Canis lupus familiaris: one gene and its partner. The protein of the gene in region 1 purifies or fractionates together with the protein of each later gene. This does not show direct contact. Links are inferred from orthologs where the notes say so. Each region holds a gene or a part of one and is shown on either strand. Other genes may lie near its edges.

The links. Proteins that work in one complex are often made in the same cells at the same time.
Region 2: the proteins of POLR1B (region 1) and POLR1D purify together in Homo sapiens (affinity purification with mass spectrometry; 5 studies listed by BioGRID and IntAct, with this or other methods). This does not show direct contact. The link is inferred for Canis lupus familiaris from reciprocal best matches to the Homo sapiens genes POLR1B and POLR1D.

The regions. Positions count from the first base shown.
Region 1 is NC_049238.1:36,968,636-36,973,592, forward strand, and holds part of POLR1B (DNA-directed RNA polymerase I subunit RPA2), read left to right. Parts: intron 1-553; coding exon 554-687; intron 688-2,531; coding exon 2,532-2,702; intron 2,703-3,548; coding exon 3,549-3,705; intron 3,706-4,957. UniProt on the Homo sapiens protein: Catalytic core component of RNA polymerase I (Pol I), a DNA-dependent RNA polymerase which synthesizes ribosomal RNA precursors using the four ribonucleoside triphosphates as substrates.
Region 2 is NC_049246.1:12,055,391-12,060,821, reverse strand, and holds the start of POLR1D (protein POLR1D), read left to right. Parts: upstream 1-1,646; 5' UTR 1,647-1,744; coding exon 1,745-1,770; intron 1,771-2,724; coding exon of another isoform or gene 2,725-3,100; exon of another isoform or gene 3,101-3,301; intron 3,302-5,431. Other genes in the region: DNA-directed RNA polymerases I and III subunit RPAC2, read left to right, coding at 1,745-1,770, 2,725-3,100.

The DNA.
Region 1 (4,957 bases):
TGGACCTCTAAGTAGGAAAGAAGGTCCTTTTGCAGGAAAACAGTTAAAAAGGTGTTGTTAGTCTGTACCCTGGTGTTAATCAGAGACACAGCCTTTGTTCCTGGGGACTTCTAGCCACTCTCTCTGCTTTGGCTGAATGTCCTGGAATGACCACAAAAGCACTAGTATTAATGCTGCGGTTACAAATACATTTTAGCAAATAGGGCAAATTCACAGGTGTGGAATCCACAAATAATGAGGATTAAATGTAGTTAGTTAGGTTTTGGGGGAAGAGTTAATCTGTTTGTCAAAATGTAGAAGGTATGCAGTGGAAAGCCTCTCTTAGATCCCTGGCCCCCAGCTGCTCTCCCCTCAGATGGACAGAGTCATTCATTTCTTGTGTGTCCTTGTTGAAATGATTTAGAAACACTCAAGCGATACAAAAATGTTCTGGTGTAGAGACAAGATAACTAGATGTCTAAAATGATGAAGTGGCTGTTGAGCCCACCTGGAGGGAGTTTTTAATATAAGAAAGTGTTCAGATGTGAACCTTCTGTTTGTTCCCTTCCACCAGGGGTCACTCCAGTTGATGGAGCTCCACATCGACCCTACAGCGAGTGCTACCCTGTCCTGCTAGATGGCGTCATGGTTGGCTGGGTGGATAAGGAGCTTGCTCCTAGCATTGCAGAGTCTCTCCGACATTTTAAGGTTGAGTCTTTGTGAATTGTTCTATCCCTTCATCTTAAGTCGTCAGTCCTTTTCTGGTTGTTGAGATAGCCCCAGGGCCGTCTAGAGTGGTCAGGGGGTCTGGAGGCCAGAAGCTAATTCCCTAAGTGCCTGCACATTCCCCAGAATTGCAGAATCTTGTCTTGGGCTGACCTCAGAAGTCGGACTCTGGGGCAAATGCTTTGACCTGCATGCATTTTTTTTTTTTTTTTTTTTTTTTTTTTTTTTTTTTTTTTGGTAGTTTCACCGAGGCCCTAGTCTAAGAAATCTAAGAAATCTTAACTTTTTTTGTTTTGAAAATACTAATGGTGGGGTCCCTGGGTGGCTCAGTGGTTGAGTGTCTACCTTTGGCTCAGGTCATGATCCTGGGGTCCTAGGATCGAGTTTCTGTATCGGGCTCCCCGCATGGAGCCTGCTTCTCCCTCTGCCTATATTTCTGCCTCTTTCTGTGTGTCTCTCGTGAATAAATAAATAAAATCTTAAAAATAAATAAATTTACATAACAGAATTTACCATCATAACCATGTTTAAGAGGTTTTCTACTTCTAATGAGGTCTGTTTGGGTAGCCTGTATTTTACCCATTTTATTTTGATTTCTTGGAGTTGTACAGAGTATACTTATAATTTTAAATTTTAGTTTCAGTAGTTTTTTTGCTGTTGTCATTTCTTACTCAGTACATTTGTCTGCCCCCCCCCCACTCCTTTTTTTCTTGACTAAGTTAAACAAGGGGGATTTGTTGGTTTGTTTTTTTTTTTAAAGTACCAAGAATTTTGATTTGTTGCTTTGAGCCTTTTTCGGTACTGTACCTCATTAAGTTCAGGTTTTATCTTTGTTAACTTGTGGGGGTTTTACGTATGTGTGTTCTGTTTGTTTGGGTTTTTTTTAGCTTTTATGTTAAGAATTTAATCCATCTGTTTTTGTTGATGACTTGTTTAGCTGTGAATCCCCAGAAGTTCTGATATATAGGTCTTGTTATTTTTTTTTCACATTTTTGTAATGTGTGTTTATATTTTACCCTGGAGTTGGTTAGTAGAAGTTTTGTTGTTTTGTTTTTTAATTTCCAGGTAGAAGAGCCTTTTCATTGAGTACAGTTTAAAATAAAACCAGTAATATACTACATTCTAGACATCAGAGGACAAAGTTTTACTTATGCATCCACGTGCACCTTCTTGGTTTACCTTTCCTCTAGGCTCCCCTTTACCAGTTTGCCACATAGTGAGGTACCACCCACCCCCCAGAAAGTAGGGCTTTGGCCAATTCTGGATATGAGGTGAGTAGCATTCTGTGTGGTGATGAGACTGGAAGGGCACAAAGTTATTACTGGCATAACTGATTTAAATTTTTTCTTTAAGATTTTATTTATTTATTTTTTTTAACATTTTTATTTATTTATGATAGTCACAGGGAGAGAGAGAGGCAGAGACATAGGCAGAGGGAGAAGCAGGCTCCATGCACCGGAGAGCCCGACGTGGGATTTGATCCCGGGTCTCCAGGATCGCGCCCTGGGCCAAAGGCAGGCGCCAAACCGCTGCGCCACCCAGGGATCCCAAGATTTTATTTTTTTATTCACGAGAGAGGCAGAGACAGGGAAAGCAGGCTCCATGCAAGGAGCCTGATATGGGACTCGATTCCAGGACCTCCGGGATCACGGTCTGAGCTGAACGCAAATGATCAACCACTGAGCCACCCAGGTGTCCCACTAATTTAATTTCTTGATGCTGCTTTTTATATTTGGCCTCCTTTCCCATTCTACCCACCTCCTAGGTGACAGGAGGATAAATTTGAAACACATCACTTCTTCTTAATTGAACTCTGTTGAAAACAGGTATTAAAAGAAAAAAGAATTCCTCCCTGGATGGAAGTGGCCCTTATCCCTATGACAGGAAAACCAAGTTTATACCCAGGATTGTTCCTGTTTACCACTCCTTGTAGATTGGTACGGCCTGTGCAGAACTTGGAATTAGGCAAAGAAGAACTAATTGGAACTATGGAACAGGTATGTAGAACATTGTGATTGGTGCCTGTATATGCTCCTGTTACAGTACACAACTTTCGGAGACTTAATAACCACTCTTTTTTAAAAGTGTTATCGGGGTACCTGGGTGGCTCAGTCAGTTAAGTGTCCAACTCTTGATTTCTGCTCAGGTCATGATCTCAGGGTCATGGGATCGAACCCTAAGTCGGGCTCTGCACTCAGCAGGAAGTCTGCTTCACATTCTCTCTTTCCCTCTGTCCCTCTGCCTGCTTGCATGAGCACCTGTTTCTCTCTCTCAAAACAACAACAACAACAAAAAAAAAAACCAGAAAACTTCTTTTTATAAAGAAAGTGTTGTTGTTCTTTAATAACAATTGGGCATTTGAAAAAAATCAGAATTTACTTTCTGCCTCCTACCAGAACAAAGCAGTTTTCACATGTTCCTTCACTGTGCTTACATATCGAGAAAGAGAGTTGGTGGTCACATTACCTGCCTTCTCATCCCGCCCAGCTCCTTTGCACCTGACTCTGAGTCAGGTGGTGAGGTGGGAACATTCCATTAGACTTAATATTTGCCTACATCTTTGCAGTTGCAAAACTGTGGGCTTTGTGCTACCTCAAAATGTCTGTCTTCCTGTCCTTCACAGTTGGACCAGGGTAGATTTAGAATGAAATGCATCAGGCAAACAGTATTTCTGACCTGGAAGCTTCTCCGTGCTTCCCAGTGGATCCCATCAGTGTTCATGATATGGAGTGGGAACGTTTGCATTCACATCTTTGAGTCCTAAACTCAGAGGGAGGATGAGTTCATATGTTAGCAGTGAGTTATTCTGTGCCTTGAACTTCCTCACCCTTCCTCTCTTCCAGATCTTCATGAACATTGCCATCTTTGAGGATGAGGTTTTGGCTGGAGTTACCACTCACCAGGAGCTCTTCCCTCACAGCCTGCTGAGTGTGATTGCCAACTTCATCCCCTTCTCCGATCACAACCAGAGTCCCCGAAATATGTATCAGTGCCAGATGGGTAAGATGGAGTGGAGGGTGGTGGGATTCACACAGAAGAAAAGTGCTTATAACTTTTTTATTTTGAAATAATTTCAAATTCAGAGAAATGTTGTGGGCATGGTACAAAGAACTTCTGTAAGCCCTTTATGTAGATTCTGTTAACATGTGCACTGTTTTCCATTTGGAGGTAAATTGCAGACACGATGCCCCTTTATCCCTAAATATTTCATTGTGTATTTCCTAACAGCAAGGATGTCTCCTTACATATAACAAGGGCAAATATTAACATCAGGAAATTGATGTTAATGACATTGATATTGATGTCATTATACTGTTCTATAGTCCTTACTCTGATTTTGATTGATCATCCCCAAAATATGGTTTATGGCAAATTTTTTTCTGTGTAGCACCTAGTCCAGGATCACGCAGTGTATTAGGTGACACATCTCTTTAGTCATTTAATTCTTTTTTTTTTTTTTTTAAGATTTTATTTATTTATTTGACAGAGAACAAGCAGGAGGAGCAGCAGGGAGAGGGAGGAGCAGGTTCCCCCCTGAGCAGGGAGCCTGATGGGGGCTCTATCCCAAAGCTCCAGGATCATGACCTGAGCTGAAGGCAGTCATCTAGACACTCTCTCCTTAGTCTTTTATTTTTATTTTATTATATTTTTTTAAAGATTTATTTATTTATTTATGATAGAGAGAGGCAGAGACACACACAGGCAGAGGGAGGAGCAGGCTCCATGGTGGGAGCCCGACGCAAGACTCGATTCCGGGACTCCAGGATTGCGCCCTGGGCCAAAGGCAGGCGCCAAACCGCTGAGCCACCCAGGGATCCCCTCTTAGTCTTTTAAATTAGATCCTTAGCCTTTGTCATTTTTGATTTTAACATTGTTTAACAAAAATATAGTTTATTTTGTAGAATGTTTATTGATTTGGTTTGTCTGAGATCTTGTAATTTGATTTTGAAGAACACAAGCCCTTGTAGTCACCCACATCTTATCACTTCTGGTGCTCTGCCTACCTAATGATTCAGGTTTCCGTTGAGTGTTGCATCCCTTGAGCCTAAAAAACCTTCCTATAACATTTTTTATAGTAGGTGGCTGGCTACAAATCCTCTTAGGTTTTATTTCTCCAAAAATGTCTCTATTTCATCTTTACTTGGAACTGGATGTATGATTCTGATTTGACAGTTACTTTTTTTTTTTTTTTTTTTTAGCACTTAAGAGATGTTACACGGTCTCTTCTTGGTGTCTAGAAGTCAGTGATTGA
Region 2 (5,431 bases), on another chromosome or scaffold:
CCACGTCCCCCACAGCGCGGCGAGCGGGGCGCAGAGCCGCGGGGTCGCCGCCTCCCCGGGCGCGGCTCTGCCCCCACAGCCCGCCGACGCCCGCACCTGAGGCGGCCGCCCGGCACCCGGGCAGGGCGCGGGGCCAGGCGGCCGGGGCAAAGTTACTCACTGGGAAAGCGCGGCCGCCCGGGGCGCGCACCGGCTCCCGGCGCCGCAGCCAAGCGCCAGCTCCGCTCTCCGCGGCCCGCCGGCCTCCGCTCCGCCGGGAACCGCCGCCGCCGCCGCCGCCACCGCGGATTTCCTGGCAAGAAGCAAACTCTGGCCAAGACTTCACTTCTCAACCGCCCCTGCTGCCTTCCCGGGGGCGAGCGCCAGGGCCCAGCAGCCCAACCCGACAAGCAGCTGGGCCAACCGGCTGCGGCGCAGGGCGGGCAGGGGGCGGGCCAGAGCGCGGCTCCGCCTATGGAAGCGCGCGGGGGGCGGGCCAGGCCGGGGCCGTCACTCCCGGGTTAGAGTGAGCCCACTCCGCCCCTGGCCGCCCGCCCTCCCCCACTCGGTCTCGGCTGCCCCCGCCCGCCTGATCCCCCCGCTGGAGACACGCTCGGAAAGTGCATCCGCGCTCACCGCCGACCGCCGCGAGCAGAGTGGAACAGCTGGGGAGGCAGTGACCATCTGGGGGAACCGGGGTGTGGGTACGAGCACAGGTGGCGAGGAAAGCAGGAATATAGGTGTGCTGGGGTGAGAGGACTCTGGGGCAAGGTGCGAGGGACCGGGACTGACCGGGCTGAGAAGGGCGACGGGGGTAGGAGGTGGAGGAAGGGAGGAGGGGGGACGGAGGGAAAAGGGCGGGGAGCGGGTGCGGGTGGCGAAAGGTTGCCGAGGCGCGGGCAGGGGCACCTGGGAACAAAGGTGAGAGGGAGGTTCCGCAGGTGAGGTTTGAACCGAAAGGGGAAAAGGAAAAGGAAATCCGGAGCAAGAGAGGGTGTACGTATTCCAGGTGCAGAGAAGACCCTGAGGGAAAGCACGGGGGAGCAAGGGGGAGAAGAGCAGTTTCCTTCCAAACTCTCGCTCCTCCCCCTAAAGATAGAAACGAAGGCTTTTTTGGACCCGTTTGAGGTGTGCGGCTGCAAGATCCCGGATGACACACACAACCTTCAACTCATCCTCGTCTGTCGTGAAATTCATCAAGGTGTACTGATCACCTGTAGTTTGCACCTGTCATCCCCCCGAACACCACCCCCCCACCCCCGTCAGGCTTGGGGTCCCGCCAGGGAGTGACACCCTGCCCCACGGGTCAAGCAGCAAGTCTGAAAGAGGCCCCATTCCGCCCTAAGAAGGACGGTGGCTTGGGGCGGCAGGTAAGGCCCCGCCCCCTCCGCCAACACCTGGCCGAAGGTGCGCCCACAGGCGGGTCTCGCCCTCGAGGTGGGACGGGAGGGCGGCCCCCCTGTCCCCGCTAGGGCAGCGGGCGGACTGGCCCCTGGAGCTCCAGGTGAGCCGGCCGGGCCTCGCAGCCGCCCTCCCCGCGCGGGGAGCTGGGCCTGTGGGCGGGGCCTGCGGGCGGAACGTACACGCCCCGCCCAGCGGCTGGGCCTCGCCGCGCCGCGCCGCTGCGGCTCCTCCTCCCTCCTTCCGTCCCCGGCTCCTTCCGTCCGTCGTTCCTTCCTTCCTGCTCCGCCCGCGTGCCTCGCGCTATGGCTTAGCGCCTCCGCTCTGCCCGCACCACCTGAGGATCCCGGAAGCCGTCCCCGCGATGGAAGAGGACCAGGAGCTGGAGAGGTAACGGCCGAGGAGGCGGGTGGGCGGAGCGGGCCGCGCCCTGCGCCGGGAGCGGGGAGCCGAGGGGCGTCCGCCTGCGGGGCCGGGGCGGCAGCGGGGGCAGCGGGGGCAGCGGGGGCCCGGCCGGGAGGACGCGGGAGGAGAGGGAGGTGGAGAGGGAGGGGGGCGCCTGAGCCGGGAGAGGGCCCCTGCTGGGAAGGGAGGGGAGGACGCACGGACGTGTCTGATAGAGGCGCCCCGTACAATTAGACGGCCCGGAGGGAGCGCAAGTTACGAGGCCGGAGTTAAGTCCCCACACCGCCCACCCCGGGGAGAACAGCAGGACTAAGTAAAACTAACGGAAGGCCGCGCCCGGGCCAGTGTTCGCCGAGTGCTCGTGTTGGGGCGTCCAGCCAGGCCTAAGCCCCTGTGACTGCGGCCCAACTTAGAGCTCTGTGTAGGCAGCTAATGAAGCGCTCCTGGGTGCCCTCAGCCCTCGTCTCCCTCCTGCTTGATTGACACTTCTCAGAACTTCCTCTCTAGTTTATCTCCTGCAGATGGAAACCATAGTGGGGCCTGCACGGTGATAATCTGCAGTCTCTATTTTTGAAAAGATGTGTTTTTGTGTGCCTTTAAATACCCTTTCATTCTCCAGCAGAGCCCACCCTACTCTAATCCTGTTCCTTTCTTGTGACTCTACCAAGAGAAAATTCTAGCTTTAAATATTTAACATTTACGTTTGTGCCCTCGTGGCCATGTGGACGGTGTCAAATGGGGTAGGGAGAAACTGGAGGCAATAATTAAGTGTTTATTGATAGAATATGTGGAGGCAGGAAAATGAGGGGTTAATACAAAATAGTTGAGTGTAATTGGAGTGCAGTAATGTGTTGCGATTGTGATATAGTAAATGAAAAAAAAGCTAGTTACCAAACCATATTCAGTATGATCTCATTTTTATAAAAAATATGTGTGTAGAAAAATATCTGGATTGAAGACCTCAATGGCTGAAGGCGAGAGGAAGACAGCCCTGGAAATGGTCCAGGCAGCTGGAACAGATAGACACTGTGTGACATTTGTATTGCACGAAGAGGACCATACCCTAGGAAATTCTCTTCGTTACATGATCATGAAGAACCCGGAAGTGGAATTTTGTGGTTACACTACAACCCATCCTTCAGAGAGCAAAATTAATTTACGCATTCAGACTCGAGGTGCTCTTCCAGCTGTTGAGCCATTTCAGAGAGGCTTGAATGAGCTCATGAATGTCTGCCAACATGTGCTTGACAAGTTTGAGGCCAGCATAAAGGAATATAAGGATCAAAAAGCAAGCAGAAATGAATCCACATTCTAGTCCCTTATGCACTATACGGGGAGGACTATCCTCTAGGATATTCTCTTCGTGATCTTGCAAAACCAGAAGTAGAAGTTTGTGATTACAACTCCATCTGCCCTTCACAAAGGCGTGCTTCTAGCTATTACCCATTACAGCTGCTGGAATCCCTGCAAGAACCTTTGTACTCATCTAATAAATTCCCTCTTTTATTTAAACTAATTTGAGTGGTTTCTGTTGCTTCATCTGGTAGATTGACTGTTTTAGGGGGTTTTTTGGTTTGTTTTTTTTTCTTTTAATTGAGCCAACAGTGAACGTAAGGAAGCTAGGAGAATATTAGAGACCTAGACAAAGACTTTGATCAAGAGAATTCAAAAGAATGTGCACTTGTGGCTATGATTGGGGAAGGAGGAGAGATGCAATAGAGCGTGAGCACAGACTGTGGTGGGTTTAAAAAAGAAAGGTGGAAGTGGGAGGAGGATTTAGCTTCTTGCTAGATATTTTTTAGTAATTCATGAGAGAATTTGCATCTTTTACTATGACTGCTGGGTTCAAGCGTGGGGAATAATTTGAAAGAATTGTGAGAATTTTGGATTCACAGGAGAGTTAGGATCTAGTTCTACCTTTGTGGTTGCATATATAGGATGGATGCCAGTTTACTGCTTTAATTTCAGGACACTAATAAAATATTTTGTCAGAAATGACCTGAGTAGGTCGAGAGTTTATACTGTAAAAGAAGAAAACTGGGATGATCAGGGAACATCTTCAGTCCTTAGGTGCGTATCTAAGTATATAGCCCAGGGTTACAATAAGGATGAAGAGAAAAATTTCCAAGTTGGGAAAGTGATTTTTTTTTTTTTTTTTTACCTTAAAATACTAGTGAACCTCTTCAAGGTGTCCTGTTAATCTCATCAGCCTTGTCTGCTAGCTGTCCTACATCAACTTGTCTCTTAATTCACCCTAAATCTCGTTAACCTTTGACCTGAGCACCTCACTCCCAGCACTCTGTGCTTTGGGGTCTTTGTTTTTGCTGTACATATTCTTGGAACACCCTTACTCTTCTACACTCTAGGGTAGGTGAGAACTTAGAGGTCAAGACTCCCACCCTGGTTTGGGGACTTGCCTGTACTTTCATTTTACTCCTGTGTTTCATGGTCTTGGATTTACTATGCTGTTGTTAGTGCTTATGTTGTCTACCCACTATACTGACTTGCAGCCCGATGCCTGATGGGTAGTAGGCAATTAGAAAATACTGGCTAAATCCATGTTGGTAGTTATGGCACGTAGCCTTTTATTCACTCCAATCAGACCTCTTTCTACTATTCTGCCATAGAAACTACATTTCCTATACTCAGTCAACATGTTTGGATAAATATATTTCTGTATTTATGGAGCACCTGGTACATACCAGGCCCTGGATAGAACACTATTGGATGAGACATGGGTCTTGTTCTCATAGAACATACATTATAATAGGATTGAAATTATTTTTTTAAAGTTGTAATTCTTTGAAAACATAGGAAGGATCAAGAAAGAAAACATGAGAGGGGAATTGCTTTTGGTATGAAAGTCAGGGAGGTTCATCCAGAGATTACAGGAAGAGAAGGAGCTAACTGCCCAACGGAGAGGAAGTATTCTGGCAGGATAGCTTTGTAAAGGTCCTGAAGCTGAAAACCTGTGGTCTGAGAAATTAAAGATATTGAAAATTTGCTTATATGCAGCATGGTAAGCAAGGAAGAGAAGGGCCTAGGCTATGGATATGGTGGGAAGAAGAGTTGGGGTGGTAAGGGTTTGGATTTTAAGTACAATGGGAATGACATCTGAATACTCTTGATGACAGTGTGGAGGGATGAATTATCGAGAGGAACTGTGTCATTGGCCTAGAAGGGCAGCAAGCTAGTGATGGACAAAAGGGTTGATTTGAAATATATTTTAGAACTGAATTGGTACAGGGGCAGCCCGGGTGGCTCAGCGGTTTAGTGCCACCTTCAGCCCAGGGCGTCTTCCTGGACACCCGGGGTCGAGTCCCACGTCGGGCTCCCTGCATGGAGCCTGCTTCTCCCTCTGCCTGTGTCTCTGCCTCTCTCTCTCCTCTCTGTGTATTCTCATGAATAAATAAATAAAATCTTTAAAAAAAAAAAAACCGAATTGGTACAGAATTGGTAGTCCTCAGATACTGGTGGTGGAAGGTGAGGAAACAGGACTTCAACTTCGGTTTGGGGCCAAATGGGAGGCTTACGGGGAAAAATAGGTTGGAAAGTGGAAAAGGTAATGAATCAAAAGTTCCATTTTGACTGTGGTAGATGGTGAATATGTGAGTTGGAGGCCATGAAAAACATCTAAGCTGGAGAG